Linked DNA regions of Lepisosteus oculatus. The protein of the gene in region 2 purifies or fractionates together with the protein of the main gene of each other region. This does not show direct contact. Links are inferred from orthologs where the notes say so. Each region holds a gene or a part of one and is shown on either strand. Other genes may lie near its edges. The genes, in order: sdhb, hscb, sdhaf1 and iscua.

Region 1 (8,152 bases), on a different chromosome or scaffold from region 2:
ACAGCCTGGACACAGACGCTGGACACAGGCAGACACAGTCACAGTGTCTTTCCCCATTATAATTGTTATGTCATTATTATTAATAATGATGAAAGGGATCTAACAATAAGAACAGTAACAGTTTAGTGTGGCTGACCTTGATGAGGTTGTGCAGGAGCGCAGGGTACTTGAGGCCGTGCTCCCGGGACGCGGCGGCGATGCGAGAGATCCACAGCTGAGAGGCGGGAAGAGAGGGGGGCTGTGTGAGGAACTGCAGCGGCCCAGCGAGACCAGCAACACCTTTCGGACTGGTGCCACCTGCCCTGCTGTCCCCCCCAGTATGGCTCTGTGCTGCATCACTGCCCTGCTGTCCCCCCAGTCTGGCTCTGTGCTGTCCCCCCCAGTGTGGCTCTGTGCTGCATCTCTGCCCTGCTGCCCCCCCCAGTCTGGCTCTGTGTTGTCCCCCCCAGTGTGGCTCTGTGCTGCATCTCTGCCCTGCTGTCCCCCCCAGTCTGGCTCTGTGCTGTCCCCCCCAGTGTGGCTCTGTGCTGCATCTCTGCCCTGCTGTCCCCCCCAGTCTGGCTCTGTGCTGTCCCCCCCAGTGTGGCTCTGTGCTGCATCTCTGCCCTGCTGTCCCCCCCAGTCTGGCTCTGTGCTGTCCCCCCCAGTGTGGCTCTGTGCTGCATCTCTGCCCTGCTGTCCCCCCAGTCTGGCTCTGTGCTGCATCACTGCCCTGCTGTCCCCCCCAGTCTGGCTCTGTGCTGCATCACTGCCCTGCTGTCCCCCCCAGTGTGGCCCAGCGCCTCTCCCCGCTGCGCGGCTGCTCACCGTTCTCATGTTCCTGCGCTTGGCCTTGCGGGCCTTGGTGGCGTAGACGAAGGCACGGCGCACCGCGCGCACCGCCAGCCGGAAACAGCGGTTCTTCCTGCCCCTGAAGTGCTGCGGACACACACACACAACAGACACACACAGAGAAGGACAGAGGTGTGTGAAGAATGAATGAGTGGTCACAGCTCTCCAAGCAGCTGTACTCAGGAAGTACGCTCCATCTCCTGGCGTAAGACTCCCAGTGCACAGCAGACTGATCCATTCCAGAGTTTACAGCCTGCAGGATATGGCACGAAGGAGGAACGTAAGTTCTCAGATGAGGGTGTGCGCTTGGTCTCCCTCTGATGAAGGCATCAGCTTCAACAACACGTCTGGGTAGCTTGTTCCGTACCCCCACCACTCTCTGTGTAAAGACCTGCCTCCTGCTCTCGGTTTTAAATGCGCTTCCAGGTCCTCCGATTTCAGTCGGTGCCCTGGAGGAGTTTGAAAGCTCAGCCTGAGCAGCAGATATAACCTGCTGTCCAGATCTCCACAGCCCTCACCCTGCCCACGGAGTCCACAGGCTTAACCGGCGCCTGCTGCCGCTTCTGAAGGCGGGAACCGTCTCCCAGGTCGAGACCCTTCGAGCACAACGAGGTGCCATCAGCAGCATTACCGGCAAACTCGCAGGGAAAGCCCACGCCAGCTGCGACACCCGCTCGTGACCTCGAGCCGTCGGGGGTCAGGTCATGCCGGTACCGGGCGGAAGGCGCACTGTACGGTACCGAGGCGTGAATGAAAAGCAGCCTACAGCCACACAGGTCTCGGGGCTAAACGGCTCTTCACCCGCACTGGAATCAAGTGAGCTTGACTCGGAAATCTGAGAAGGGTGGAAGGATAAAGTCTCCTACCCGGGCATTCTTCAGAACCTCCTGGACCCTCCAGTACCGGTCTGGCCCCCGGCTCCTGATCCAACGGGACAGAGTCAGAAACACCATGCCTCCACTGTCCCTGCTTTCGCTCTCTTACTCCCTTTGTTGACCTCCTCGGCTCGGTGCGAGATGCAACCAGCGCGCTACACGGAGGCGGCCATCATGTTTGCTGCGAGGTCAGGGCTGACGCCATAGACGTTAGCCGCAGGGGCGTGTGGGAAATGTAGGCGATCCCTAGCGCCGCGCCACACGGACGCCCCCTGGCGGCTGGCGTTCGCCAAGTCTCGAATTCTGTCTGAACTCCTATGAATTGAATTTGCTCCTCCTACGGTGTTTTTTAATCATCCTGATTTGGTATCATTTGCAAACATTACTAGTTTAATAATAATAATAATTGCTTACACTTATATAGCGCTTTTCTGGACACTCCACTCAAAGCGCTTTACAGGTAATGGGGTCTCCCATCCACCACCAACAGTGTGCAGCCCCACCTGGATGATGCGACGGCAGCCATAGTGCGCCAGAACACTCACCACACATCAGCTATTAGTGGGGAGGAGAGCAGAGAGTGATGAAGCCAATTCATAGAGGGGGAGTATTAGGAGGCCATGATTGGTTAAGGCCAATGGGAAATTTGGCCAGGACGCCGGGGTTATACCCCTACTCTTTTCGAGAAACGCCCTGGGATTTTTAATGACCACAGAGAGTCAGGACCTCGGTTTTACGTCTCATCCGAAGGACGGCACCTGTTAACAGTATAGTGTCCCCATCACTATACTGGGGCATTAGGACCCACGTGGACCACAGGGTGAGCGCCCCCTGCTGGCCCCACTAACACCTCTTCCAGCAGCAACCTTAGTTTTTCCCAGGAGGTCTCCCATCCAGGTACTGACCAGGCTCACACCTGCTTAGCTTCAGTGGGTTGCCAGTTGTGAGTTGCAGGGTGATATAGTTTACTGGCTATATCACAAACTAGATCACTGATATAAACTTTAAGACTCAAATAACGTCTTATTTTTAATTAATGAACAAAACTCCAGCCTATAAAAGGCTCACATTACAAAACATCGAGGAGGACAAGAGAAAACACCATCTGAGGTGTTATTATAATATTTACGAAACAATCTTATTGATCGTTTAAAGGTCATTGAAATCCTTTCCGATTAGCTTAAAACACTGTGGTGCAAGACATAATATTGGACTGCTCGTGTTTACAAAATAATGTTGAGATAAGATGCCATTGTTACACACTATGCGTTAAAATGTCATTTGATATTTTCATCAGCGGATTTCAGAGTCAGAAGTGGGCTTGTAGAATAACGGGGAGAGATCTCACACCACAGCTACACCGCGTACAGAAACAACGCCTTTCTGCTCGTCTCCCAGGCCTAAGGAAACCGGCGAGTTAAACACAACGGTCTGTCTTTTTAATTTGGATTGTAATTCACAGCCCCAGAAACCATCTGCGCCTCTAATCGAAGGGAGTTTTTAAGAGTGAAGCGAGGCGCTTTGAGATCTATTCGGATGAGAAGCGCTATATAAATGCAAATACTTTTTACATAATCGTCTCTAATGTAGGCAACCTAGAACATCAAGAGAGGGTTAGATCACGTGTGTTTATTGTGACTGTTCTTCTGAGTGCTAAACACGCACGATGTTTCGCAATTTCAACACAAACATCTTATAAAACTGGACCGGAAGGAGATGTAGATGACGTCAAAGGGGAGGAAAGCGTGGCGGAAGAAGGCGCTGTTTCTATGCTGTGGGATTGTGGGATAGAGGCGAACAAGGTTACAGAATAGACCTCGCTATAATAATTCTCGCTAGACATTATTGGCGGCCAAGACAAGTTTTCTCCCACTGTAGGGGCAAACACCGATTGCCCTAATAAATAAACAACTTCTTAGTCAAACATTCCTAAAGTATTTCAGGTGGGTAGCTACATCAGCAGGCGCAGGCTGCAAAGGAACAAGAAAAGGTTTATTCCTGCTGAGAAGAGAAGAAAACAAACAAGGCTCCACGTTGTGATTCCTGAAATATAGTACCAATCCAAACAACAGCAAAAAACGAAACTTAAAAAAACAACTAAGAGTCTTTACCCAGCCAATCTAGTTGTTTTCACATTTACAACACCTCACAGCCTTGTCTGATCTCGGAAGCTCAGCGAGGATCGGCCTGGTCAGTACTGGGGAGCTTCAGGAAAACCCAGCTGCTCCTGTAAGTGATGTTGGTGGACCAGTAGGGGGTGCTCACTGCTTTGCACCACAATTTCCAAATCAGGTCCTCGGTATGGAGGCAGGTTAATACCCCAGGGCACTGTTCCTATGACCACGGTGACCCAGCTACCCTCCATGCTGGACACATACAATCTGCCCCCCCTACATTTCCTCCTTTATACACTGCTCAAACAGTTTCTCCCTTCTCCCCCATCGTGCTGTGCACTGGAGCTGCTACTCCAGCTGTGTCCCACTGTGCAGTGGAGACAGCGGCACGACAAGACTAACTGCACCCAGGACAAAGTCGCCCGTCGTGCGGCTTCTTTGAGAAAACTCACTGCTCCCCAGGACCTGCCGGAAGTGGCGCTCTAGCAGCCGCTGGATGTCGGTGGTGTCCGGTGTTGCTCAAAAGCTCCGGCTTGCTGACGCTCAGAGTCCTTCGGTTCCTCCAAGATGTCGGCTGTGTGCTTCTCCTTGAGGAGCGGGTCGGTCCTGGTTCCGGCCCTGAAGGTGGGTAAGGCGGCTCGGGGAGCAGCCGGGGGTTCCGGGGGGACAGAGGGGAACCCGAGACCGAGAGCGGGGCTCGGCGAACCGGTCCCGAACAGCGGAGTGCGGGTCTTGCAGCTGCCAGCAGTTACACAACCCGTCTCCTTGAGAGTCCGAGGGCCAGTGCGGCGGTATCTTGTAAAAACAGGTACAATCTGTAGACCCGCTGCTCTGCTCTGGCGGCTCGGTGTGTTGGGGGGTCGATTCTTGATAACGACTCCCCTGATAAGCCACTTTTTCAAGTTACCTTTGAACTGTGTTGCTGAGACGCTGTGACGACCGGCTCAGGCAGCGGACTGGGTCGGTGTGATGTTCGGGGTGATGTCCGCCTGGCCCCGCTTGTGCCTCGGCTCCTGTGAGGTTCAGCTGCCCGGGTTGATGGAGTTGATGGATTTAACAGCTTCTCTGTAGTGTAACAGCTTTATCCCAGGGCTTGCTGTAGTCAGTAGACCGGGCTGAGCGGGTTACACGCAGGCGCCAGGCTCTCAGTGGTTCTTTGTCATTGGGAGCGATGGAGCAGTTTGAGGATCTGTGTTCTGCTGGTCCGCCACGGGTTGTTGCTGAGATCCCCGAATTTAACTCAGCCGTTCACTGAAGAGTCTCAGACAGTGTACTTCCCAGACACACACACCTCTCTGTGCACAGACACCTACTGGATGCCCATGGGTGACTCCAGGTCCCTGCAGGACCGGAGACGCTGGTCCAGTGCTTTCTCCCAGCGCTGCTGTCTGTCGCCAGTGGCCTGGCGCTTGCCTGCCTCTCTGCGTGTAGACAGCTGCAGGTCAGACCCGTGAGTGGGGACTGAGCTGTTGCTCGGCGCCAGGGGCAGTCAGTGTGGGGAGCTGATCTGGGGTCAGCAGTGGGGCAGAGGCACAGCTCAGGTCGATGACCCCGCCGCTCGGTGTTGCGGGCGGGGGTGCGTCGGAACAGCTGTGCCGTGACGCGGCGGGGGCGGTCCGCGTGGGAAAGAGCTGCCGTCGAGCTGGTGTCTGATGATCGCAGGGAGGTCTCCGCGGGCGAGGGGCTGGGCCGTTTCTCCGGTGACGCTCGGTCCTGTGTTCCCCTGACAGCTCGCCCGCGGCGCCCAGACAGCCGCCGCCCCAGCGCAGGCCGCCGCAGCGCGCCTGAAGAGGTTCGCGATTTACCGCTGGGATCCCGACAAGCCCGGAGACAAGCCGCGCATGCAGACCTACGAGGTCGACCTCAACAGGCAGGTCACCCTGAGGGCAGCCCGTCCTGCTGCTGCACCCGCTGTGCATGTATGCGAGTGGGTAGTTGTGTGCATACGTGCTGTCTGACACTCTGTCCTGTCCTGTCCTGTCCTGTCCTGTCCTGTCTGTCTGCAGCTGTGGCCCCATGGTCCTGGACGCCCTGATCAAGATCAAGAATGAGCAGGACCCCACGCTGACCTTCCGGCGCTCCTGCAGAGAGGGTGAGCGCTGGGCTGGGCTCTGCCTGCGGGCTGAGACCCGTGTGTGTGTGTGTGTGGACTGCAGCTCACCTGCCCCCTCTGCGTTGTGTGTTTTGTGTGCTGAGCAGGTATCTGTGGCTCCTGTGCCATGAACATCAATGGTGGGAACACGCTGGCGTGCACCAACAAGATCGACGCCAACGCGGCGCGCGTCACCAAGATCTACCCCCTCCCACACATGTACGTCGTCAAGGACCTGGTCCCGGTCAGTACGCCCCCGGCAACGCCTCGCCACGCTCCGACGCCCCCCGCCTGGCCAGCCGCTGACCCCTCTCTGTCCCTCTGCCCGCAGGACCTCAGCAACTTCTACGCCCAGTACAAGTCCATCGAGCCCTTCCTGAAGAAGCGGGACGAGTCTCAGCAGGGCAAAGCTCAGTACCTGCAGTCAGTGGAGGACCGGCAGAAACTGGTACAGTGCGCCACGCCGCCGTGCCTGACCGCCGCCGCACGAGAGCCGGCGTGCCTGACCGCCGGCGTGCCTGACCGCCGCCGCACGAGAGCCGGCGTGCCTGACCGCCGCCGCACGAGAGCCGGCGTGCCTGACCGCCGCCGCACGAGAGCCGGCGTGCCTGACCGCCGCCGCACGAGAGCCGCCGTGCCTGACCGCCGCCGCACGAGAGCCGCCGTGCCTGACCGCCGCCGCACGAGAGCCGCCGTGCCTGACCGCCGCCGCACGAGAGCCGCCGTGCCTGACCGCAGTGCTGATCTTGCTCTCTGTCTCCAGGACGGGCTGTATGAGTGCATCCTGTGTGCATGCTGTAGCACCAGTTGCCCCAGTTACTGGTGGAACGGAGACAAGTATCTGGGGCCGGCAGTGCTCATGCAGGTGAGGGCTGGGACTGGGAGCACAGGGACTGGGGGAGGGGGCTCTGGGACTGGGAGCACTGGGACGGCTGGAGGGGGCTGGGACTGGGAATCGATGGGACAGCAGGAGGGAGGGGGCTGGGACTGGGAGCACTGGGACGGCTGGAGGGGGCTGGGACTGGGAATCGATGGGACAGCAGGAGGGAGGGGGCTGGGACTGGGAGCACTGGGACGGCTGGAGGGGGCTGGGACTGGGAATCGATGGGACAGCAGGAGGGAGGGGGCTGGGACTGGGAGCACTGGGACGGCTGGAGGGGGCTGGGACTGGAAATCGATGGGACAGCAGGAGGGAGGGGGCTGGGACTGGGAATCGATGGGACAGCAGGAGGGAGGGGGCTGGGACTGGGAGAACTGGGATGGCTGGGGGGCGCTAGAACTGGGAGCGCAGGGATGGCGGTAGGAGGCTGGGACTGGGAGCACTGGGACGGTGAGGGGCTCTGGGACTGGGAGCGATGGGACAGCAGGAGGGAGGGGGCTGGGACTGGGAGCGATGGGACAGCAGGAGGGGGCTGTCTGATGCACCGCAGGAGAACAGTCTGATTCGCCACAGATTTCACCTGCGGTGGGACTGTGGCACAGGGGCAGCCCGGGGTTCCAGAGATTAGTCTGGAGTAAATTTGCACAGACAGATGCTTTGAGATCAATTAAAAATACTCTTTATACATGTTTGCTGTTTTATCACTACATCTGGGTAAGAGATACACTGCTGGTAAAGCCTGGAGTGGATCTGAATGTGGGGCTTGTGTGCTGGTGCTGCTGTACTGGTGTAACTGGTGTCACTGGGCTGGTGTCTTTGACTCGCCAGGCGTACCGCTGGATGATCGACTCTCGGGACGACTTCACAGAGGAGCGCCTGTCCAAACTGCAGGACCCCTTCTCCCTGTACCGGTGCCACACCATCATGAACTGCACCAAGACCTGCCCCAAGGTACAGTACTGCCCCAGCACCTGCCCTGTAGTCCACTGTACTGCCCCAGCACCTTCCTCAGAGCACTGTAATGCCTTGTAAAACAGGTGAATTGTCATGTATGGTTCCCAGTGTGATGCTCCTGACTGCAGTGTAAGATGCTGTCTCTCTCTGGTGCAGGGCCTGAATCCTGGGAAGGCGATAGCAGAGATAAAAAAAATGATGGCGACCTACAAAGAGAAGAAGTCAGCTGTGGCCTGAAGGGGTCGACACAAATCCACCCCTGGCCCCTAAATTATCTTTGAATTGTACTGACCTGTACACCTTAACCACTCCAGCTGAGCCCAGCAGGGGGCGCCGGAGTGTGCTGTAGAGAATTGCATGATGCTGTACAGAATGGGAGGTGGGAATAAACAGTTTCTGATTAAAT
Region 2 (8,392 bases):
AGGCTTAAGTAAAGTCCTGTATGCTCTGTTAACCAGGGCAGACTGACTTTCAGAGTATTCCTGCTCCTGCTGTAAGAGACATCACAAAATAACTTCCAGGAAGTAATCAATAAAGACCCTGCATGCTATTTATTACAGCACATGTTCCAGAAATCTCACAGGGCAATCATAAGACTTTATTTTCCCCAAAAGTAATTTTTTTCCCTTTCCGTCAGTGTTCAATGTAGCATACTTAACATGATCTGATGATGTGATATAATAAATTATTTGTGAAAGGAAAGTTACTAGTTCTGACAGGCAGAATGTGCTTGAACGTACCAAAGGTTAAAAAGCACTTGATAACTCTTTATATGAAATGCCTCTCATTTTCATTAAAAAAATAATGTAGAAAAAACAGAAGGTCCACATATATCTGGGACTAAACAGCTTCAGTCTTGAGGCCAAGCATGAAAAACGTATTCACAAACCTGAAAGGTGCTGACAAGGTCAGCCCAGAAGATTACTTTATGCTCAAGAGTAAAATAAGTACAAAAGGGCACAACTACAAGCTGCTCATGAAAAAGTATATTTATGGCTGAAAACAGGAGAGGCTTTTTACACAAATTTTTGTGGAGGTTTGGTACCAAGCCATGTTGTTGAAGCTAATACTGGAGATCAATAAACTATTTAGACAAAGGTACCATAGCAAGCTACTATTTTCCTGGACCAAATTTTCAAAACCTTCACAATAAGTATACAAAGTATTACAGAAGCAGCTGTAAACCGCTTTATGCTGATCCGTGGTAAAAGCTACAACACAGCTGGTCATTTATCAATTACATCATAAATAATAACATGAAATTAGGTGCAAAAAAAGTTATGATTACCTAAGCAGTGCTTCAAAGTGCCTTGAGCGTTAAAAAAAAAAAAGGTCTATTATATTCAAACAAATTAACACAACATTGGGGACCAGATCTGTACATGTGTATTGCCTACTGTTTAGATGCAACTCAGTCCAGTTATGAAACAACTACATTAACGTCAATGTGGGATTATGCAGTACTTTTGTAAACCTACAGCCAAACCTTGGCATTCAGATCTGCTTGCCATTTTATGAATGCATCTGAATAGGCTAATTTTACACTTACCAGGTCCTGAGTGTAAGAAAATTTGATTTTTTAAAGGTCTTGTCATGCTTGGAATAGTTGAATGTCTTGAATCCAACAACAGAAGCTGGTGTGTATGAAACATGTAAAAGGAAATAACTGAAAAACCATCTCATGTTTGGAAGACAAGTTGAAGGTAAAAGGGCTCAGCAACAGAGGGGCATACCAGGCTTATGCAGCCAATGGGAATCAATGAGAATTAAAAGTGGCCGATTTCTATGTTACAGCCATACATCATGCTACACAAAACACCAACAGTCAGTCAAGCCCCTCATTTAAAACTGATCTGTAGACTGGATCATCTCCAGAGTCAGTCTGCTCCTAGGACCTCAATATCCAAAAGCATTAATTAGTCAGTGCCGCTCCATATGGTTAAATATGGTTAACAATCAGCAGCAGGCAGATTTTCCTGGGGGCTTGAAATAGCATTACAAGCCAAATTTTCACTTTTTCCTGATAATTCTTTAAAAGTGGTGCAGAGTAACAGAAAGTGCTTTGGGAGAAAGTTTAATACCCTACCATGCTAATCCCCAGCACTGATGGTCCTTGTCTTTAATATGCACCATATTGTATCAAATAGACTCTTCTGCAAGCCAAACACATTTCACATCATATCACTTAAGTTAAATGGAATCAGACAAGCCATTTATTTTTAAAGCAAAGTCTTTATTTTTAGACATGAATAGTCTCCATATCCAACACTACTGCATTGCAATGTGAAATTCCAAAATCCTCAGACCAGACTACAAAGTACTCAGATACACTCAGTCTATTTGCAGGAGTTAAGTGTTACTCCTGCCATTTCTGCCATGTAATTCCACTGCTATTCGAGACTGACTTTTTTGTAGTTTGAACATTGCATGAGTATGCCTACACGATTATTTTTTTAAATGTCTGGAGACATTAGAGTTGGCAGGTGCACGCACGCTATGGAGGCTGGTGAACCTTCACTTACAGACTATACCAGAAATGCAAAATTATATTTGATTGACAAAAAAAAACACCAGTCCATAGTTCACTGGGTTTTGATTCTATTCATTGGACTTGTACAGATGCTGAACAGAAACAAGCTGTGGACAGTGGAAGTACAAGTCTACACAGTGACACAACAACGTTTTGCCCGTTTAAGAACTAATTGCAGAAATCGTGCCATACACCTGGAAGCATTGCTTACCTGCGTTTTCTGGCTGAAATTATCAGGGTGAAGAGAACGCTGAAGATGCATGTACCTTTTCTGTAACTTCCGAACATCCAAAGCAAAGGATATTTCACTAAAACAGTGCATAAAGGTTTATTAACACCAGGTGCACTAACACCAACATCTGATGATAGTCGAGCAATAAATGCTGCAGATGTAAAAAGTCAACTAGCATGTACAGGATTCTTAATGGAACAAGTATTATTAGTTTATTCCATGCTGAAAAGAGAAGAAAGACAACACAACGTTTCGGCCACGGAGCCTCACACGTGAAGAAGGCTCCACAGCCAAAACGTTGTGTTGTCTCTCTTCTCTTTTCAGCATGGAATAAACCTATTACTTGTTCCTTTGCAGCCTGCGCATGCTGACGCAGTTACCCACCTGAACTAGGATTCTTAATAGCAATATTTATAAGACCTCTCTAAGAATTAAAACGTTTTAAGAAATGCAAAGCTGTTTTATGCAGTTAACGTTTAATAAATATATGGCAACCCATTAAGGTTACAAAACCATGTGTAACTTTAGCATATCAGAGGGATCTCGCTGAAAACAATTTCAGTCAGCCAACGCAGACACCTGAGATCGAAACTGCTCAAGTGGACAAACTACTTAGAGTGCCAGACAGACCAGATTCCTTCTCACCAGTCCATGATGTCGAAGAAGTTGATGTTTTCATCAAGTGGCTGGATGACAAGGCAAGCCGGGCAGAAGAACGCAGGAGGCGTCTGCAGTCGTGCCTCGCATTTCCAACAGTGTAGTTTTTTCAAAACCGTGCAAAAAGTCCTGGAAATCATACCGCATCGACGTTTCAAGAGCGAAGTGGCTGGGAACTGATTTGATTTGAAGTGCTCCAAAAAATGCAATGTTTTTGAACAGACTCCAGAAGAACGGCGGCTGCCCGAGCCATTCAAGGTGAACACCGTTACGAAAGCTTCACAGCCAGACGTGGAAGGTAGATGTTTTAAGACAGACTGATCATTTCCAACATAGAGCCCTAGGCCACAAACTCTACGGAGTGAGCTGGCAAATCGTAACCTGTTTAATATCAGCATTGTTTTTCCTTTAAGTCAATATCCATGCATGCCGGTACTGCCTTCACCTCTCGTAAGAGGAGGAGGTGGGTAGGGAAGACAACAGGAAGCATCAGAATTATTTCCGGTTGGATATATAAAACATAAAATTGTTTAAAAGTAAATATGCAGTATTAATACTATGGTATTTACATGCATTAGTTTAAATTTGTGGGTTCGTTTAATATTATGGAAGTCAGCGAACCTCAAGTTTAAGTCACATATTTCCCAAATTAGGTCTCAAGGCAGAGGCTGAACTACATTTCCCAGTCTGCCCCAGAGTTTCCCCGATTGGTTGGCTTCTGTAATTGGTTGATTTTGTAAAACGTTTCGGCGTTGTTGAATGTACTACCTGTGATTGAGGAATAATCGGGGAATTTTGGGCATGTGAGTAGCTGATTTTGTTGAACTCAGGTATGACCTAACTCGTATGAATCATGCAAAATGAAAACAGCATGCTTCTGTATTTTCTTTAAGTTTACGCTACTGTATTAGTTTTATTGACCGGGAGTCATGGGCGCAGTTTTTTTACTTTTTCTTTTAATGTGTACGTCATCTGAGCTCATTGCATAGATTTAGCTACAGTTTCTGATTTCTTTAGTCGTGTTAAGAAATGTGTCTCATATCTTAGACGTGTTTCCTTAATTATTTCGGCCTATGTTACCATGTGGCACCGGGAAGAAGGCGGCTCTCTTGTTATTGTTATTGCGGACGGGTGCAAGTTTGCTTCCTTGTAATGCAAGGACTACAGACTATGGGATGCCAGGCACTTTGCCAGAAATATTTTTTTTAAAAATAATGACCCCCACCAAAACGAATGACAACTTTTAATGAAAACACTTTATTTAGTTTTTACCTCGGGCAATTCAAGATTTTGTGGATGAAAGGACTATATACTGTAGATGTACAATAACATTTTGTTACAAGCCACTCTTGATCTTTGCATTACCGTGCGCGGCCACAACCACTCTTTTGCTGCGGAGAATTTGCAGATATGTGCTAAATGGGTGCGGGACATCAGAGAGCGGCCGCCAGAGACCGGGAAGTTGTGCAGAACTGCACCGATTTGTAGGAATCTGCACTAGCATTGTGCCGAATGCTTTGAAGAAGGCACCTCGGATATAGCGTTTTATGTTTTTTAATACTGTGATTTTTTTTATGTTTAGTGTTTAAGTGCAGCGTTAATTTGAATTGGAAGTTACATTCATGACAAGATAATTTATTAAAAGTTCAAAAACAAGAAAAATCCACTGTCTCTCAGGGATTTTATCATAAACGTGCGAAAGTACCCTGTCCAAGGTAGGTGATTTTCTTACCATTTTAAATTCAACCATTATTGATGTGCTTGATTATCCAACCCCATTTGCTCATGTTCACGAAAGCATATGCAGTTTTGCCCGTGGTTGTCAAAGTGTTTGGCCTTACCTGGGTACACGTGTTGTGTTTGCATCTATAAACATAAAAACATACCAGTTCTTCTGAGCCAGGAAGCAGAATCATGATTTTGTTTCCACATGAGAAGTAGCATCAGAGGTTAACAACAGGAAGCAGCTTTGTGCTGAAGGAAAAACAAGGGTGTGCAGAGGAAAGCTAGACCACTAACTACTGTTCTGGTGCCTCTGTTGTGCTTGATGCTTTCAGTAAAGGTAACCAGGGAGCTTAACCATGTCTGAGGAGCCTGGCCCCAGTGACACCCAGCCTCAGTCCCAGTCTCAATCCCAGTCCCAGTCTCAATCCCAGTCCCAGTCCCAGAGCAGCTCCAGTTCTTCGTCGGCGCCTCAGTCTTCCAGCCAGTCGTCCTCGTCTTCGGGCTCAGGCACGCTGAGCTCCGTCGACACCATCCCCGTGCGGGACCTCTCGTCCATTCCTGAGGAGGCCGAAGACCCGGAGGAGCCCCCCCCACAGCCCTGGGGCCGCCTGCTGCCCATGGAGAAGGGCTTCGCAATGCACAGTGAGGGCTCGCTCTCTCCTGCCTGTCTGGACTAGGTCCCAAAGGACAGTTCTGTGCCATTTAGCCATCGCTGGCTTTCGGAAGCTTGTAGAAAGAAGTTATATCTCCTGATTATGAATCTGAAAGTGAATGCGCCACTTTACCTAAATAGTTCATTTCTTCAGTGTTCTCGAACATTTTATTAAGTGGTGTGTTCAGGTGAAAGTTTGTACTGATATTGTAAAATGGCCACTTTGAAGTATAAAGAAAGATTTACTAATTATTTCTTTGTGTTGTGTGTTGTGATCTTAAGCAGTTGCGAACATTAATTGTTTAATGTTAAACGTGGCAAACCTGGCCTTTTTCTTTCAGACTGCATAAAGGATGAATACTGGTTTGGGAGAGACAGACGATGTGACTACAGTTTTAATAATGCCTTAATCAGAAAGTCAGAAAAGTACGCAAGTTACAGTAAGAAGCACTTCAGGATATTCAGGGTAGGAGGTACTTCTGTTATCGTCCTTGGTCAACTGTTCCGGTATCCACTCGGAACAATTCCTTTTGAAGATTTAATGCTTTTGTTATCCCAATATGTCTCTTTATGAGACAATTATGAAATAATTCATGAAATAGTTGTCTGATGCTGTGATTAATTGGGTCACAGTTTTGTAGGAAACTGACACATTTTTAACACCTCCTTCCCCTCCCTTCCCCACTCCAACTTTTCTCTGTGCAGGAAAGCGGAATTCCGTATATTGAAGACCACAGTGGGAATGGGACCTATCTTGACGGACAGTATATGGGACAGGGCAAAAAGTTACCACTGGCAAATAATGCTGAACTGGCGCTTTCTGTCCCCCAGAACAAAGGTAGAATTTTTCTGTGTAATTTTTGTTACTAAGTTTGTTTGTTTTTTGGTGGGGTGTTTGAAAAGGAGTTTTTAAGACATCTACACATCAGTGTGTGAACTAACTTGCATTAAATTGTACTGCCCATGTAGCTCAGGATTCCTTCTTCTGACGTATTTAACCCATTCTAGAGACTGTTGCTTTATAATCTATGTCATTTCTAAAGTTCTCATATCCATGCATAGCTTTTTGTAGGAATCCCAAAGGTATCCTGTAATGTTTAATTAAATATATTTTGTATAAGGGAAGCTGGTGATATGTTACATTAGTCTTACTCTTTTTCTTACTTCCCAGTACCTAAAATGAAATATTTTACTTTTTTCTCTATAGTTTTTGTGTTTATTGACCTCACCGTTGATGAACAGTCAAACCTCCCAAAGGAATTCAAGGACAAATACTTGATATCAAGAAAAATTGGATCGTAAGTGGAGCAGTCGTTAAGTGTGTTGCCTCGCTAAAGGGGGTGTTGGCAGGGAGATGGGATTTTTTTTTCTAACGGAATCAGGCCTTATCTTCCAGAGGAGTTTGTGGAGAAGTTAAGCTGGCATTTGAACGGTCTACATGCAAGAAGGTGGCAGTGAAGACTATAAATAAGAAGGATTTTTCATCCACTGACGTGAGTGTGGGATTTCAAGAGGAGTGGTCTGTCATTTTTTATTCTTTTAGAATTTGTTGGCTCCTTCTCAATTGGAGGTTTACTCAAAGGCTAAAGTAATGTTTTGTTTTTTAGAGGACAAACCCTTCAGCCGAAAGAGAAATTGAGATTTTGAAGAAAGTAGACCATGTACGTGAGTAACCTGCCGTTCACCCAGTTGTCAGTGGGTGTTAAAGATGTCTTTAGGTTTTTGGTAGTCAAATATCTGCAAGGTGTTGCTTTGTGTAATTATACCCTCTTACTACTTTTTGGCTTAGTATGGACAAAGCAATTTATACAAGTAACTTTATTTAGCAAACATTCAAATGACTGAGAAAGGGCATGTTCTTTCTGAACATCATTTTATGCTAATTGTTTCAAATGTGTGGAGACACAAAAACACTGCATCTCTGAGTTACAAAACCTATATACCCACATCGTTTTAATACACTAGTAATTATGGAAATGTGAATATAATTCGTTCTGGCTGTTTCATAGCTTTAGAAAGAAGAATTCTCTAGAAAGAATTCCACTTTGCATATATTAAGTCAAAGTTAACACCCAGGGATAGGTGTTAATGTACTGTACATGTACTGCTATGCAAATATCAGGGCTTGTGAACTGTTCTGCTGTTTTCACATTCCCTTCATGCAAAACTCTAATTCTGTCATGATCATCAGATTCAATAGCTTTAAATTACACAGATTCAAGCATTTATTTTTATTAACAGTTATTTCTGGTGGCTAACAGCTAACAGTTATTTCCAATAGATCTCTGTTTTGTAGCTTGGATCTTTTAGCTTTGTGGAAGTGTAAAGAGAAACATATAATTTTGAAGATGAATATTATGCCAATGAGTCCATTAGATTTAAACTGGTAAATATGGTGGATTTATTAGCTGTCTGTTATTACCGCTTAATGTTTGCTACTAGCTTACAGTTTACCTTGAGTTATTGTGCTCACGTTTCTGAAGGTTTTGATCAGTGTGAATCAAATATCACTGAATTCCAAGCCTGGTTTTAGTGTTTCTCAGTACTTTGTGGTTGATGGGTCCTTTTGTTGCTTTGCCGCAAAGCTCTGAATCACCAGCCCAAAAGAACTCAGGAACTGGGCCACATTTAATATTTTTAAATGTGGCCTGAACCCTTTTCTTATAAAGACTTTTTCGAAGGTCAATTTCTGCTTGATTTCCTTTCTGATTGTTATCTAATAAAACTGCTTTATCCTGGGCTAGTTTTTCAGTTTATTCATGATGTTGCTGTACCGTGCCAGTGTCATGAGTCTGATTTATATTTAATTAAGTACCCTGCTTATTAAATATTGTATATATCATTGACTTCAATGTGAGCATCTAATACAGTGGTGAAAGAATGGCTTTTCCCAAAATCTGCCATTATTTTATTTTTACATTTATATTTATTTTACATATATATATAATGTAACCGTATCTCTTGAAATCCTTTTTTCTTTCCTAGCCTTGTTTGATAAAGACTGTTGACTTCTTCCAG
Region 3 (7,109 bases), on a different chromosome or scaffold from region 2:
CCGACCTCATCCCTGTGGTCTGTCTCATCATTACCAGTGATTCGGCCAATGATGGTGGTGTCATCAGTATATTTGTAGATGGACTTGGAGCTGTCTGGCCACACAGTTGTGGGTAAACAAGGAAAACTAAGCACACAGTCCCGAGGGTCACCTATATTGATGGTCAGCGTGGAAGGAAGTTCTCCATTATCCCTAACAGTCTGTGGTCGGCCAGTCAGGAAATCCAGAATCCAGCTGCAGAGAGAGGTGTTGATGCCCAGGTCATTAAGCTTCCTAACTAGTCTGGAAAGAACTACTGTGTTAAATGCAGAGTTGTAATCAATGAATAGCATTATGACGTGTCGTCATCATCCAAATGAGCCAGGGCAGTGTGCAAACCAGGGAACTAGTATTGTCAGTGGACCTGTTACACAGGTATGCAAACTGCAGGGCCCCTAAGACCTCAGGCACCATTGTGTTAATGTGCCTCATGACCAGCCTTTCAAAGCATTTCATTATGGTGGACATGAGCGCAACCGTCCTGTAATCTTTAAACTGGTTGCAGTATTTTTCTTCGGCACTGGTATGAAGGTATGATTTAGTAGAACACAAGGGAACAGAAGATTGTAAAAGTGAAAGACTAAGAACCAAGTAGACAAAAACTCCCTAAAAACCGTGGCCAACTGGTCTGCACAGGGCTCAGGTCCAGGAAGGCTGTCTGGACTGGTTGCCTGCTGTGCGTGTTGTTACCCTCCGTGACAGACAGCCGGATCAGCGGCCAGGAACTCCGACAGCAGTGGCTCTGTGATTCCCTGTGAGGCGCTCTGCGTGCAGAGTCCAGAGAAGCGCTGAAGAAGTGTAATGTATTGTTATTACATAGCACATTTATTGTTATTATAGCACAAAAGAAACAAATGCAGTGCAAGAAAATAAACAAATGTTTCTTCAAAAGCTCCTGCTTTTCACGCACCCAGCCAGTGTTTACACGTGAAACTGAGAAATTCTGAACGATGGGATGGAATCAATGAAAATAAATCAATTTATTTCCGTTACAAGCATGTGAGAGGAACTGACCTGTAGCAGAAGGCAATATGCCAACCAACTGAGTTGTAGCCTGATGTGTATCTGATTACAGAAAGTCTACAGCAATACCCAATGAACAGCGAAATAACAGAAGTTCAAGTCAGGAACCACTATGGAAGATTTAAGAAACAGTGAGACCAATGTTACATTCTCTTGTTCAATTAAACTTATTTTATTAAAACAGTCTGTGAGAAATAACGCAAACTACAATATCGGCATTACAAATCCTTCCACTATGGAGATGTGACAGCGGCCTCTCGACGGGTTTGAGCCCGATGAGTCTTGCTCCCGAGCTGTGCTGCGGGCTGAAGGCTCTGCAGTCCAGTGACCCTGCGGTAGACTGACCAGCCGCCTCGGACCGACGGCCGGGGCGTGACTAACCAGCTGCCTCTCCTGCCAGAGCAGTCAGGGGAATGAAGAGGCGGACGGATAGGAGCCGCTGGCACCTGAAATGGACCCGGCAGGTCCAGTTCTCCGCCCCCGAGCGCAGTGCCAGCCGGGGGTCAGCCGCGCCCCCCGGGCCTGGAGAAGGCGCCCAGCCGCCGGGTGGTGGCGTGACCGAGCTGCTCCAGCTGCCGCCACCCGCGCCGACACAGGTACTCGATGTGCATGACGTCAGTCCTGGGAATGCTGGCGTTCTGGCGGAACTCGTCCCGGATCCGGGGCAGGAAGCCCGGCTTGTGCGCCGCGGCCCTCAGGAGCTGCCGGTACAGAGCCAGGACCTGCTTCTGCAGCCTGCTGTGGCGCAGCATGGCGAGGAGGGGCCGCCTGGGTGGACCTGAAACCACAGGACAGCAGCTCAGAGGGGTCACTCAGGCATGCCTGACCGGGACGCGTCGTCTGCTTCGATCTGCGCGTTAGAAATCCGAGTTTCAGCTCTGCAACCAAGTGAAAACTACTCCGTACAAGACAAAGTGTTGTTTGTAACCAACGAAAGCTTTATTTTCTCCCGAGGTGAGTTAGTTTAATTGACGTCTTCTCCCAGAGCAGTGTGGCTGATCAACAGTCTTCCCGTGTCCCTTCCCTTCCACTGAAAACACTCCCGAGTCCCTCGGGCACTTCCCAGACAGCACAACGCAAATGATCCACAAAACGTTTGATGACGCTTTATTAAGAATAACAGGGAACATTCTTATAAGGTCACAAATCAGCGGTGCTAGGAGTGTTTTAGTGTGACCCGAAGGCATCTGAATCTTACCGATGGATAAAATACCCCTAAAATGCGACAGGGATGACAGGAGGTGTCGGTCGAGTCTCTACACAGTCATTCCCAAAATATTAATCGTTCTTGCAAACGGCAATGTTTCTAATGAATACATTTAACAGAATCATATTCCTCCTGCCACCTTCACTTTGTCTTAAAAAAAAAAAACACTGACAAGCCATTATCTGATCTCCACAGAACTCCCAACGACAGATACAGACACCATGAAACAAAAATGACCAAATAACGATGAGATATTAGCACTGGTTAGCACATTTATACTTTCCTGTAGGTATTTTAAAAACAATTACCGTGACAATAGGTAATATCTGTCAGCCAACGTCACCTGCGTACAGCTGCTGAGCGATACACTGACTTTCCAGCTCGTCGTGTGCAACCTGTGCACCTCGCTTCGCCCGCCAGCGCAGCAGACATAACCTTGTTGTTATGACACCGAGTCCGGCCCGCTGGCAAGACAGGCCTCCATCTGCAGAGCAGCTCGACCCCCCTGCAGCGCCCTCTGCTGGACAGCGCGAACACCCGCCGCGCACGCACCTCGGCTCTCTCCGAACCCCCAGGAGCGCAGGCCAGGCACGGAAAGGGAAGACGGATTTTTTTTAAACAGGTTTTGAGAGGTTACCTTCAGTTTACTTGGGAGCTGCAAGCATCTTGCACTGCAGGGAGATTCTGTCAGCCCTTCACTGTTCTGTACAAAGCCTTTTCACCATTCAGTGCTTCTGGAAAACGAAACCTCGTCCATCATGGCCTCTACTGCGTAGTGCATCCTTGGCAGAGCTCATTTCACAGTCCTTGTGCTTTTGCTCATGACGGGCACTTGAAGTTTTCCTGGTAGAATCTGGTACGGCACACTCAGATTCTGTGACCAGACCCCTGTGCGGAGGTGCTGTACAAGTGTCCAACACCCCTCCGGGACAGCCCAACAGCTGCTGCACAACCCCTCCAGTTCAACACAGCGCCCAGACAGGACAGCCATGGAGGCACGATCGACACCAGAGGTTATTACAAGTTAGAACAGCCACCATCAAACTAGTTTCCCAAACCATATCATTTACAGCACAGGAATAAAGCCACCACAGACCTGGTATTTGGAACTTCATTAGTGCTTTTTAATGACAAATTAAGACATTTTTTTAACAACTTAGTAGTTTTTTCCCCCCATCACAGAGTCAACATGGTGTAAATTCAGGTTCAGGATGCATACAGTATATTGCGCATGAAATCTGATGCTTCATTTTGATGACCAATACTTGACATAGCCAGCAAAGAAAACAGTGCTTTCAACTCAAGAGTTATCCTTCAATAGTTGGTTGATTTGGGACCTTTTCCATAGAAATGAAATGCGTGCCATAATAAAGAGGGCAGTTCTGCCTTCTCGGCTCAGTACTGCAGCAGTCTGCGCAACACTGCCTTTGTGGAGAAAACATTGGACCGGTAGTGTTCAAAACAAAAGTGCAACTCACTACATGTGCCTTGTCTGGGATCCGGATTAGTAATAGTTTTCTATTTATACTGTACAAATATATCATGACACTTTGGCACAAAACTCCTCAGTAACTCATGTGCATAGTAAAAGGAATTATTTCAGTCAATTCAAGCTCTTTGAAAATTAGACCTTGTCAGTTTCTCAGTTGCTCTGAACTGGAAATGGCAAGCTCAGACAGAGCTGTGAGTGGCACCACACCGCAGCCTAGGACAGCTTCCACTGGCCTCCTCTTTAACACGAGAGGAAAGGTCTCCCACTGATGGGACTCCTGTTTCCACCTCGCAAACTGGCAACTTCTAAAAGACCCTTTGGTTTAAGTTCTCACATCAGCCTGTGCTAAACATGAAGGTAAAGTCCCCTAGAACATGCAATCTTTAGAATAACTATCAGCACAGCTTTGTCAGAAGTGCCTGGATCTCACAACGCAGGAGGCCTTATCACACTTCATCTGCTGCAAAGGTTCACTTCAATAAAAATGGAGAACATACCAGACCACTACTGGTAAACAAAACAATCTCTACCTTGAATTACAAAAATAAAGAAGGCCTACTTCTTTCAGAGGTGAACCTTGTTAGGAGCATTTTGCCACTTGATAGAACAGACCTTGAGTTCAAAGTGTGTGATGGTGTGAATGAGACTTGTACAGTTTAACTCAGACATGCAGACTAATATCCAAGCTCAATCACTCAGAACAACATACTGTACAATGACGCCACTTAAATGAGCCTATCTATACATAAAAAGGGACACATCCTAGATATGATCACAGTCCCCACCTATGTTAACAACATTACACCTATTTAAATACATAAATTTAGCAGAGAGATCACAGGGAAAACTGCATCCACTTGCACACAGAGTGATAGTTGAATTCTACAAGCTTTAGCATTAATAAGTAGACAATATACTAAAAAAACACTTTCAAAGTATAAATTTAAATAAGGCATTGATGACCTCGCAGTTAATCTGACAGACAAGTCTTGAAATCAACTCCTCCATTAATTGAAAAAAAGTTGTTGCACATTTCAAAATATATACAGTATTTTAACAACGTGAGAAGACACTCCAGTGTGCACCAGGAGCGGCAGCACACGCAGAGCACAGCAGCGGTCTCCGGGCCTCCCTGCTCCCTCCTCACCACTACATCTCATCATCCAAGCCATAGTCTTCCTCGGGGAAATCCCCCACCACCACCACCTGTGGCTTGACGAAGGCTCCGTATTTGACCTGGCACTCAAAATACTGCTTCCCGTTGACGCTGAAACAACAACAACAACAACATTGTCCGAATGCACGGGCTTCACCCACTGAACTGTCACTCATCTGATGCAGCAGGATAATGGGCAGAGGCTGCAGCCTGCAGGAGCTCCATCTTCTCCTGCTTTTTAACCCAAACTGCTAGATACACAGCTCTGTGAGCTGTTACTACATGAAAAACAATTCTTTCAAACTAAAAAAATAAATCTAGAAAAATAAACCTAAGATAAATAAAGCGGGCAAAAAAAAAAATCTAGAACACTTCTGCGGTTGTAACTCTTGTGCATGTGAAATCATTTTAAATTAAAATGATTGACTTCCTAACTCCACAGGCAAAATGTCAAACATGCGGTCAATTTAAGAGAAGAGGAGAGGAATACAGATCCCCGGTCACAGCAAGAGTCTTTTCTAAACATTTGCTGTGTTGTGCATCCTCACGAATCAAATGAAAAAATCAGAAGGAATACCATTCTATTCTATTTGAGAATAAAGGTAACTATCCCAATCACATGGTAACTACACACTACTACAATTAATTTGCAATGTTCAAGTCTTTTAAATACAGGTACTCCACCTCCATCTAATTTATAAAACTCTCCTTACCTGCCATCATGCTTCCCCAGGGGCTCATCGTATTTCACTCCTACCCAGTGACCTGGTTTGAAGTCCGTCAGACCTGCCATTGGAACAGCAAGAGACTCACTGAACGGACCAGCCCTGAGGCAGACAGACGCAAGCTCACCGGCCCTCGCAGGGGGCTCAGGCCCGCCGGTGACGCACTCACCCACATACATGACGGTCCCTCTCTTGGGGGGCTGCCCCAGGACGCGCACCTCGCAGCGGGCGCCCACCGCGATGGCCTCGGTCAGGGCTTTCTCCTCGTTCTCCTTCTGCTCCTGCTCTGCCTTCTGGCGCTCCACATCCTCCTCATTGAAGCGGCCCACCTTCTTCTTCTTCATGAAGGAGCGCACAGAGTCTGGTGGCAGGGGCACAACGCCACAGGATTAACCCAACACACCAGCTCCTGCCTGGGGATTCTGGCCAAAAGGCTCCTGGTGGGACGTCAGCTTTGATCACAGCCCTCTTCATGACTGAGTGCACTGCCGTCTACAGGCTGAGTGCAAGCAGCCATCATAATAAAACCTCACCGTCCCGGCCATCGGACAGAAAATTAAATCAGTGGCCGGGCCCATCTGCCTAGAGGAGCTGCACAAAGATGTCATCAAAGAATGTAACCTCTGCAGGAAAACACAAACAGCTGTCCTTTTTCACCAAGCCAGTAAGGAGATCAGAACAGTATTTGTGAAAGCCAGGCTGTGACAAGTGAATGCATTGTTTTGTAAGTTATATAACATGTTGGCCAAATGAAACACGTATTGTTTTCTCTTTAGAATTAAGAGTGTCTTCATCTGACTCTGTCCCATCCCAGAGCAGCGCAGGCCGGCGGCCAGAGTGACGCACCTGATCTCTTCTCATAGGCTTCATCGGAGATCTCGAACTTCTCCACTCTGGACAGGTCGGTGAACTCCCCGCTCTGCGCCCCACTCCGGTCAATCACCTTCACACACACAAGGTTTGGAGAGTCAGATCCTGGCCAGAGCCTTCTTAACACAAAGAAATCATGAATGCAAACAGCAGTTCTTAAAAATCGTACTAGTATTGTATACAAAGTGGTACTGGTAAATACACTTCAGGTGCTTTGATATGCAACTTAAGCCAAGACATTTCACCGACATCCCTGAATAACTACTGTCATAAAAAGTACATGCTGGTTTTAGAGTGCATGACTATCGAATCCTCACAATACAGTTTAGTATTGTGCACCACAACACAGTCCTGCATTGGACTGCCACACAAGAGGAGGGCCCCGGACTTCGCCCTGCGACAGCCGCGAGGCCCAGCTGACACGACAGCGGAGAGACCAGCGATGATGCCCTACGTGTATCCTGCAGTCGTCGTCCACAGGGTAGGAGCCCAGCAGCGCCTCGTTGTCGTCGAGGTTCTGCAGGAACTTGTCGGTCGTACTGAAGAGCTGCAGCTCCATGCGGGACGCAGGAGATCCCACGATCATCTCCAGCTTGG
Region 4 (8,520 bases), about 860 kb from region 2:
TCAGTGATTAAATCCTTGCAAATAAGATAAATGTTCCAAAAATAATCGTGTAAAAAGTTACCTACCGATTTGCCCTTAACCCACTCTGTTGCCAAAGAACTGGATGCAATTGCCGACCCACAGCCAAACGTTTTAAATCTGGCATCAACAATCTTCCCCTGCTCATCCACTTCAATCTGCAAAGACACGGGGCCAAATTCAAGGTCAGGGTTTACTAAAAACTGTGAATACTTCTCATCCAAAACGTGAGCTTAATTTAGTTGTTCTCTACTGCAAACATCCCATACGAGCGCAAGTCTCATGGGAGTCGCAAGCTCATCTGGTAATGGCCATGGATACCAAGAACAGTTCGCTTTAAAGCTTCAAAAGCTAAGCACATAACACTTTTTGTATCTATCCTGACAAAGTACGTGTTAAATATAATTGGATGGTAGCTGTATTCAGTTAAGGTCACATTATCATAGCAAATGTGGCAATCACAGTAGAACAGGAATGTAAAGGGTGTATCATGCACAGGTAACTGCACAGCTAACTTACTTGTAATTTCATGACATCGCCACATGCGGGCGCTCCCACTAGTCCAGTGCCAACGTTCTTTGCATTCTTGTCGAGGGAGCCCACGTTCCTGGGGTTCTCATAATGATCCACCACCTTTAAAGAAACAAAAATGTCCCTGATTTATTCTTCTATGTCTTTATTGCAATCGTGACCCCATGGGTGGAAGACTTTAAAGGACACCATTTAAAAAAAAAAGTAAGAGGAGTCCCACCACCTTCCAAAACAAAAACCAGAACAGACTGATCTACTGAAAAACAGGCTGATTATCTTGTCAATCGTACGTTTAAGCACCTGATCCTCATCCCCTCCCTACAATAGAGTATTCTGGGCAGCACCGAGTCACACTCTCGGGGGGTGGATGGACACTGGATATACTCTATTAATAAGGCCGCAGGTTTATAGTCGAGCATTGTAATTTGCACATCAAACAGCAGGTTAAGGTTTACTGATGAAGCTAATGGGGCTTTAATAGATTACAGACAAAGCTGAACACAAGATTATGATTCCTGTAAAATGTGGCATCTGCGTGAAACTGAGGGTAACTATTTTTAATGGTGACCAGCAAAGGAAAACCTTGTGTGGGTAACATTTCACACAACCTGATCATTATAGTGCAATTGGGCCCAGGTAATTTTTCCCCCCAATGCCATATAGTTTACAATAATCTATGCTTTCAAAAAAAAAAAACATTTATAAAACTAGATATTCACGAATCTGAGTGAAAAAAGTCTGGGTCCCCGTCTCATCCCAAGTATCTGAATCTATTTTTAAAAAATCTCTAGGTCATTCTCAAATTCTCAAGTCCGGACATGATCCATCCATCTTCTAACCACTTTGACCTGCACAGGGTTGAAGGGGAGCGGATGCCTGTCCCAGCAAGCAAGGGAGTAAGGCAGGAGACTCCCTGGATGAAGCCAATTAACCTACCAGTATGAGTTGGGACTGTTGGAGGAGACCGAGCACCTGGAGGAAACCCATGTGAGTACGGGGAAAACATAATGTACAAACTCCACACAGACAGCAACCCAGGAGCCCCAGCACTCTGAGGCAGCCATGCCAACCACTGCGCCATCATGCCACCCCAGTCCAGACAATACTGCCTCACAAACAAACGCTAAGAAAAACATGTGTGTCTAATCATTATATTGTGGCAAGACAAGCAATAAAAAGGTGAATCATGAATCGTTCTTGAAAAGCACACTCTGAATGAGTGTCATTCCTCTCCGAATAAAGCTTGCAATCAGTTTCCGAAGTTCATGCTTCAGCAAATTAGGACAGATGATAAACACGTTGTTACTCATCTCTTGTGCCATCACCTTTTGTACCCTGCAAAGGAAGATCACATAACTCAGGTCATGTCTGGGAACGCTTACCCAAGGGGCTTAACAACTTAATGCAAATGCCCATTTTACCACGCACTGTAATCCAGACAAGGCTGTTCATCTTCACTCTGCCAAGCAGAAATCACCACCATGTCAGTGACAGACAAAAGGTGGGTTAATGCTAGCCAGGACAAAAACAGCTTAGCTCTAAGCATGGTATAAACATTTAAGTGACCCAGATTTCTTCTCACAAGTGTAGCGGGTACTTAAATGTGCTGTTGTGACACAACCTCGGAGCCTGATCTTGTCTGATCTCAGAAGCTAAGCAAGGCTAGACTTGGTCAGTACCGGAACCAGAGTACAGTAAGCCTCTGAGGAAAAACTGGGTTGCTCCTGTAAGTGGTGTTGGTGGACCAGTAGGTGGTGCTCTTGTGACCAAGGGTGCAAAATGCACAACAGAAAGTGCCAGTCTTTGAATTAATTAGTTTAATGTCTCATTCAACGGGTGAAGCATCTCTGATCCTCCATCTGATCTACAGTACAGTGGAGATGTTCGTGCAGAATGGCTGCTGCACTTGATCCACATGGACACTGCACACCCACAGTGATGTATGAAGTAAGTCCCCTCATGTTCATTGTGGTTGACAAGTTCTAAATGTAAGGAATTATTAATGATAAAGAAGGTCTTAAAACCATCCATTCCATTTACATAAAGGAACTTGATAATGCATGCCCCAAACACACACGTAGGGAAAAGCACTATCTTCTCTCGTCAGTTAATTAGTTAGCGAGCGGGGTATTGTAGGAGACAGCTCGATGCCCGCTGAAAGTACTTACAATACCGTTCTCTCAAACACAAATTGGTTTAACTGTTGACTGGATCAAAGCGGTTCAAGTTTTCGAAAAACTGCAGAATAGAACAAGTCATCCGTATTGCGTTTACGTCACTACAGTCGTCTCGCCGCTACGCGCATAGCGGCATTAATGACAGCATAACAGCGCGCCGTATTGCATGATTCAGTCCAAGCATAAGATTAAAAAACGCCTTGAAACGTTTTACGTCTTGAAAAATTCTAAAGGCAACAGTGTCGCTTATCAAATACAGAAGACACGGAGGGGTTCACCGCCGTGTCGTTACAGGCAAAACATGACCCGACCCGATGCCGTCACACGAGGTGACATTAAAAACAACGTTACAAAACAGGGGTTTTAAACTCCACCTGGAATCGGATGGCCAATTCCCACAGCTGCTTCTTTTTGTAGGTGTCGTTGTCGAAAGCGTGTGTTTTTCTAAAACGCAGTTAAAAGTTACACCAGCAAGGAACGCCCCCTGTAGGTATCCCATTACGACATACGCACGACATAAAAAAAGAGTCGGGAACGCAAACGGTGAGAATGCAGACACCCGGACGGCAGCGGTGAAAGACGGCCCTGTTTCCACGATACCTTTTTGTGATAAGGCAACGACACGGTGAGTTCCGGCGCCGAAAGCCTTCTGAAGAAAAACAGCGGGGAGCAACACCGCTTCACCATCGCCACCGCCATCTTTCCAGCGAGGATGCGAGACAGCAACTGTCCCGAGGCAGCCGGAGCGAGCGCATAAGCACCTTCCTGCTCGCGTGCGTAACGGGGGGAGGAGTTGCGTCTAATACCCCCCCCCCCCCTCCTCCCACACGTTTTGCAAAGGACATTTCTTTCATGCAATATTACCTAAGCAATTACATTCGAAACATCACGAACGCACCAACACCATTGACGGATATTCATTTTGTAACCGATTCTGTTCGGATTCGTAATGAACTCTTGGCAGCGTTCTGATTTGTTCCCGTCTTTTTGGAGGCCGTTTCTCCACTTTTTTGTATTATTTTATGCTGCATTAAATTTTTGAAAAATAAAAGAGGGGTACACCTATTCTTTCCCATCTGCCAATCCGTTTTATTGTAAAGAAAAATCAACACAGCAGGAGGAAATGCTCAAAAGCTTATGAAACAGTAGGCTTACACAACCTTAACTTAACGTGCAAGAAAACTGGGATACTGAGGGACAGTGACAACTGCACTTTCGTCTGTATCTTAATAAAAGTCCGAACTCCACATACCGTACTTAAAAAAATATATATTTTATTAATGCTGTATTAATTGACCGTGTATTGGACGAAGCCGTTACTGAAAATTCAAGGTTGCCCGGTAAATGGTTGAATGGAAAAATATTTACGTGTAAAATGAAACATAATGATGTAGTTGTCTGGTGTATATTTATTCACTCTGTTATTCGTAGGGGGTGGGAATTTTTTAACTATTACTACGGTAACACTCTATCATTACTCGAAGACCCTATGAAACATGGCCCTCCGCTGCATTAATAGAATCACGTGGTTCACTGCAAGCGCTGCTGGTCCCTTGTGACTGAAGGTCCTGAGGAAAAAGTGCGTCTGAACACCTGTGAAATCGCCTGAACATCCGAGTCGACTCAAGTGAAATTATACGTATAAATCGTATCGCGATTGACTGCCCTTTCCCACCGTTAATTTATGAAGGAGGTCGACGCGCTTTCATTGAGCTGCGTTGTATATTTTTCCGCCTTGTGATTTTTTTCGTGGGGCCGGGCGGTGTCTTGGGCAGCTCACCGCTGTTACCAGGCAGATCGAGTCCCAACATGGCGGCGACGGGGAGCGAAGAGGAGACGCAGTTGCAAGACATGGAGGAAGAAGCGGCCGGCGGAGAGAGGGAGATGGAGTCAGAAGAGGAAGGCATGGGAGTCGAAGGGTCCGATGAGGAGGAGGGAGACTCCTCGGACGATGAGAAGGAAAACGAGGCTGAAATCCAGCGCTTGGAGGAACAAGTAAGGAAATGAATGAATGGGGCTGGACGATATTGCAAGTGCACCACCGACATGGAATGATTCACTTAGCAAATGGTGTTTAATTAAACTGCAGCCCAGCAGTAATATTTTCCTTCTAAAGTCCTAACTGCACAAAAAAAATTACGAGCTCTAGGCGAATGCAGGCCGTGGAAACGGCAAAAGGCATATCAGTTGAGAAAACGCAATTGGACCGCTAATGAAAAAAAATGTATTTTATAGCTGCATATTCATACACGCCTGGGGATTTAAATTACTGCGCTATCTAGTCCTTTCCGACGCCCATTCATTTAGCAAGCAGGCGCACCGTATGCAGGTGAAAGCAACGTACTTACCGAAACGCAGAGCTAGCTAGCTACACTTCACAATCACCGTTGCTTCACTTCGGAGGTTGTGCACTTTAATACGAATGTAATTAAACTGTGTGTACGTACGTAACCCCTCGGTTTTGACACATTGCATCGCCCGGCGTGCTGCGCAGATTTGCCGAATGGTGCAGGAGGCTGTTGTAAATGCTGGTGTGCGGCGGGTTTGCATGATTAGAGAAGCGGGGTTTATTTCTGTCGTCCTCTGAGCTCCCAGCGGAAGCCCAGAAGTCAGTAACGATCGTGTGCCCCTCTAGATATAGGTTAACCTCACGTGACGATTCCCCGATAAAACCCCGTTTTTACTGACTTGCAAGTACTGTACTGTTTATGCCCGACACTGCTAGCAGTGACATTACTGAAATACAATTGACGAGTCGTTGCGTTTAATCCTTAAAATCGATCTTTTTAGCTCTCTTTTAGCGTTTGATTAACATAAGGATACTGGCCGTCATCCTTTTACCGGGTGTGAAACTTGTGCTACCATTAACCCTTACCCCTGTTCTCGCTCTTGTCCAGGGTGTCTGTAATCGGAAAAACAAGCCAGGGAAAGAAACAGGCGCAGAGAGTCGTTATGCGGTGAAATATTTTATGGGTGAAAGCAATGGAAGGCAATTAAGAGCTAAAGAGGAAAGTCGTCACACAAGAGCGGGGATCATAGCACAGAGGTTAATTAAATGTAGCCAAATGGACTTTAAATCCTTAGCAAATATGATCTTTCTAGTCTTGAATGTGTACATTGTATAAATTATAATGAGAATGACATGCTGCATAAGGTTGCATGTTATAATGATAAATTATGTATAAGGCTAAATAATGGGCTCCATTTACTTGGTGGCAGGGAAGGTATTGTCTGAGAGTGGAGAAACAGAAATCTGTTTTCACATGCCTGTGTTAGCTGATAACTGGCTTGGGAAGAAGACAGCGTTTCAGCTCCCTTACATATAGCCAATCTTTAATCTTTTGACGAAAGACTAGTAAGACAAAGTATTGCTTCAAAGAAATAAGCTTCATGGTCTTCTTTTCTGCTTTCCTCTTACAAAAGACCTGTTTGAAATGCCCTGTGTGCTATGTGTGATAAAGACCACAAGATCAACTTTAAAGTGTCCTATTGCCACAGCTGCAACCATTTTCACAATGCATGTCATTTAAGTAAAAAAAAGACAGGTGGTGTAAAATGGATATTTAGATGGGGGGGTTGCTCATTCATTAATTAAAACATTTCTTTACTGGGATGTGTTTTGTGTGGCAAATGGGCTTAGAAGCCTAGAGGAAATATTGGCTGTGCTTTTAAGCTAGGTGTGGCAGTAAGCATTGGTGCCTCGCAGCTCTTGAACCCTGGCTTTGATTCTGGACAGGGGCAGCTCCTGAGCTGTTTGTATGTTCTTCTTGTGTAGGATTTCACAGGGTGTTTCTAGACATGTGCTCAATAGGTGTGTGAGTGTGAGTGTCTCGAGATGGGACTGACATCCTGTCTTCTAGGGTGTTGTTTTCTGGGTAGCTGTGACTTTACCAGATTGTGGTGATGGGCCGGTAAAACCGAAGTTGCAGTGAGTTTTCTGTGTTATTCGGTGAGAAGACCTAGTAGTTTATGGCCCTCTTGTTCCCCACTCTGTATAAAGTACTGGACACTGTCTTGTTTTTGGGTGGACTGGGCTTTGCTTGCTCACCTGTGATGTGCTCTTGCCCAACAGCTGTCCATCAACGCCTTCGACTATAATTGCCATGTGGACCTGATTAAACTGCTCCGCCAGGAGGGGGAGCTGGTGCGTCTGCACAGAGCGCGACAGAAGATGAGCGAACTCTTCCCTCTCACGGAAGGTGGGTGGCCATGTTTTCTTTCACTGCGCTTATTCGTTAACCTGCCTTTAAACACCCCTTTCAGATACTGAGATTACAGGCTTTAGAAACATATGAGCCAATCTGTGTATTGTACACATTGGAGTCCATTGATTCACCAGTCTGACTGATCTCGATCACGAACATGGTCCCATAGGACAGTAGCTGTCTGTCACTTCCAGTACATGCAAGTGTTTGAAATGGAGCTGCAAAAATGGAAGTGAAGCTTTTTTTTAATATTCATGTCGGTTTTCATTCTTTCAATAAAGACCTAAATTGCGTGAAAAGGGGAAAACGAGCAAAATTTGAGCATCATCTTTTCCCTAGGTAAAAATGCATATTAACCCTGTCTTACCCTCGCAGTCCCTGCAAGCGCTCGGTTCAGATCTTTTGCACCTTGTACTTGTAGATGGATAGTTGAGACAGACTGCCTCAGTCCCGTGCAGTGATTTGTTTGTACAAAAGTAAAGGAAATACCTGTATTTTCTGTGGATAAATTTAAGTATTTTGTCTCATGCATTTCTACATAGAGATCTGGTTGGACTGGCTGAAAGATGAAATACGCATGGCAGATCAAGATTCTGATCGGGAGAAAGTGTATGAGCTCTTTGAGAAGGCAGTCAAGGATTACATCTGTAAGTAAGACTGTTTTCTTTTACAATTTATTAAAAATCTGGGCTCGATTGTGCTTGACCCATTCTTATTTTGCATACCAAATTAAGCCCTGCCATCTCCTTTATATGTTGCTCTTTGTCTTTGTGTTCCTTGAGTGATGTTAAGGTGCTTTATTAAATTCATGTGAATTTTGTGAATTGCAAAACTATCACTTTTTAACCACCAAAAGATATGTCAAACCAGAAATACTTTTAGGCTCAACGACATTTATTCATTTACCAAAAAAAGATGCTAATAGGTTATGTCTCCAGCACTGTTGTAACTGATTATTCATCAGGACTCTTTAATTTCCTGCCATGTTGTTTTGGAATGCAGGCCCCGAGATCTGGCTGGAATACGCTCAGTATTCCATTGGGGGGATCGGGACTCAGGGTGGGATACAGAAAGTGCGAGAGATCTTTGAAAGAGCCCTGACAGCTGTGGGCTTGCACATGACTAAAGGGACGGCCGTGTGGGAGGCGTTCAGAGAGTTTGAGAACGCTATCCTGGGAACTGTACAGGTAAGGCACGCCGGGCAGAGTGGTGCCTCTCCAGTCCTGGTCCTGAAATCAGTGGTCTCCAACCAGGCTTGTGGAGAGACCAATCCACTAAGTCTTACAGGTCGCTCTTAATCACATTTCTAAAAAATAAGAGCCCTTGTAAATGACTATATTAGGAAGTAAAAATGTGCTCAATTAAAGGAACCCTGTTCTTTGAGGCATAGTCTTCCGTTTCATATTATTTTAAAATGGCATAGTTTAACAAATCACCTGCAAAGGAAATTGATGTAAGTGTTTAGAAATGAGTGATTTCATGTTTAGTTATAAAACCCACTGAACTGGGGCTCTCCTGGACTGAGTTGGAAATGATCAATGGCAATTTGAATGTGGAAGTGTGTCAAGTACATTATGTGCTCATCTGCG

What was found.
Region 1: the proteins of hscb (region 2) and sdhb purify together in Homo sapiens (co-immunoprecipitation; 3 studies listed by BioGRID and IntAct, with this or other methods). This does not show direct contact. The link is inferred for Lepisosteus oculatus from reciprocal best matches to the Homo sapiens genes HSCB and SDHB.
Region 3: the proteins of hscb (region 2) and sdhaf1 purify together in Homo sapiens (co-immunoprecipitation; 3 studies listed by BioGRID and IntAct, with this or other methods). This does not show direct contact. The link is inferred for Lepisosteus oculatus from reciprocal best matches to the Homo sapiens genes HSCB and SDHAF1.
Region 4: the proteins of hscb (region 2) and iscua purify together in Homo sapiens (affinity purification with western blotting; 3 studies listed by BioGRID and IntAct, with this or other methods). This does not show direct contact. The link is inferred for Lepisosteus oculatus from reciprocal best matches to the Homo sapiens genes HSCB and ISCU.

Annotation. Positions count from the first base shown.
Region 1 is NC_090720.1:389,034-397,185, reverse strand, and holds sdhb (succinate dehydrogenase [ubiquinone] iron-sulfur subunit, mitochondrial), read left to right. Parts: upstream 1-4,323; 5' UTR 4,324-4,387; coding exon 4,388-4,444; intron 4,445-5,550; coding exon 5,551-5,690; intron 5,691-5,826; coding exon 5,827-5,912; intron 5,913-6,019; coding exon 6,020-6,156; intron 6,157-6,243; coding exon 6,244-6,360; intron 6,361-6,675; coding exon 6,676-6,777; intron 6,778-7,620; coding exon 7,621-7,743; intron 7,744-7,902; coding exon 7,903-7,983; 3' UTR 7,984-8,151; downstream 8,152-8,152. Other genes in the region: mrpl20 (large ribosomal subunit protein bL20m), read right to left, coding at 137-214, 808-918, 1,698-1,784. UniProt on the Homo sapiens protein: Iron-sulfur protein (IP) subunit of the succinate dehydrogenase complex (mitochondrial respiratory chain complex II), responsible for transferring electrons from succinate to ubiquinone (coenzyme Q).
Region 2 is NC_090717.1:5,420,043-5,428,434, forward strand, and holds the start of hscb (iron-sulfur cluster co-chaperone protein HscB), read right to left. Parts: upstream 3,492-8,392; 5' UTR 3,396-3,491; coding exon 2,986-3,395; intron 2,417-2,985; coding exon 2,320-2,416; intron 70-2,319; coding exon 1-69. Other genes in the region: chek2 (serine/threonine-protein kinase Chk2), read left to right, coding at 5,079-5,364, 5,716-5,840, 6,080-6,212, 6,582-6,672, 6,771-6,867, 6,982-7,035, 8,360-8,392.
Region 3 is NC_090698.1:1,229,340-1,236,448, forward strand, and holds sdhaf1 (succinate dehydrogenase assembly factor 1, mitochondrial), read right to left. Parts: upstream 1,815-7,109; coding exon 1,566-1,814; 3' UTR 1,206-1,565; downstream 1-1,205. Other genes in the region: tbcb (tubulin-folding cofactor B), read right to left, coding at 4,911-5,028, 5,631-5,703, 5,812-6,003, 6,489-6,585, 6,967-7,109.
Region 4 is NC_090717.1:6,283,383-6,291,902, forward strand, and holds the start of iscua (iron-sulfur cluster assembly enzyme ISCU), read right to left. Parts: upstream 3,505-8,520; 5' UTR 3,426-3,504; coding exon 3,327-3,425; intron 652-3,326; coding exon 538-651; intron 177-537; coding exon 66-176; intron 1-65. Other genes in the region: sart3 (squamous cell carcinoma antigen recognized by T-cells 3), read left to right, coding at 4,536-4,721, 6,799-6,925, 7,474-7,578, 7,934-8,118.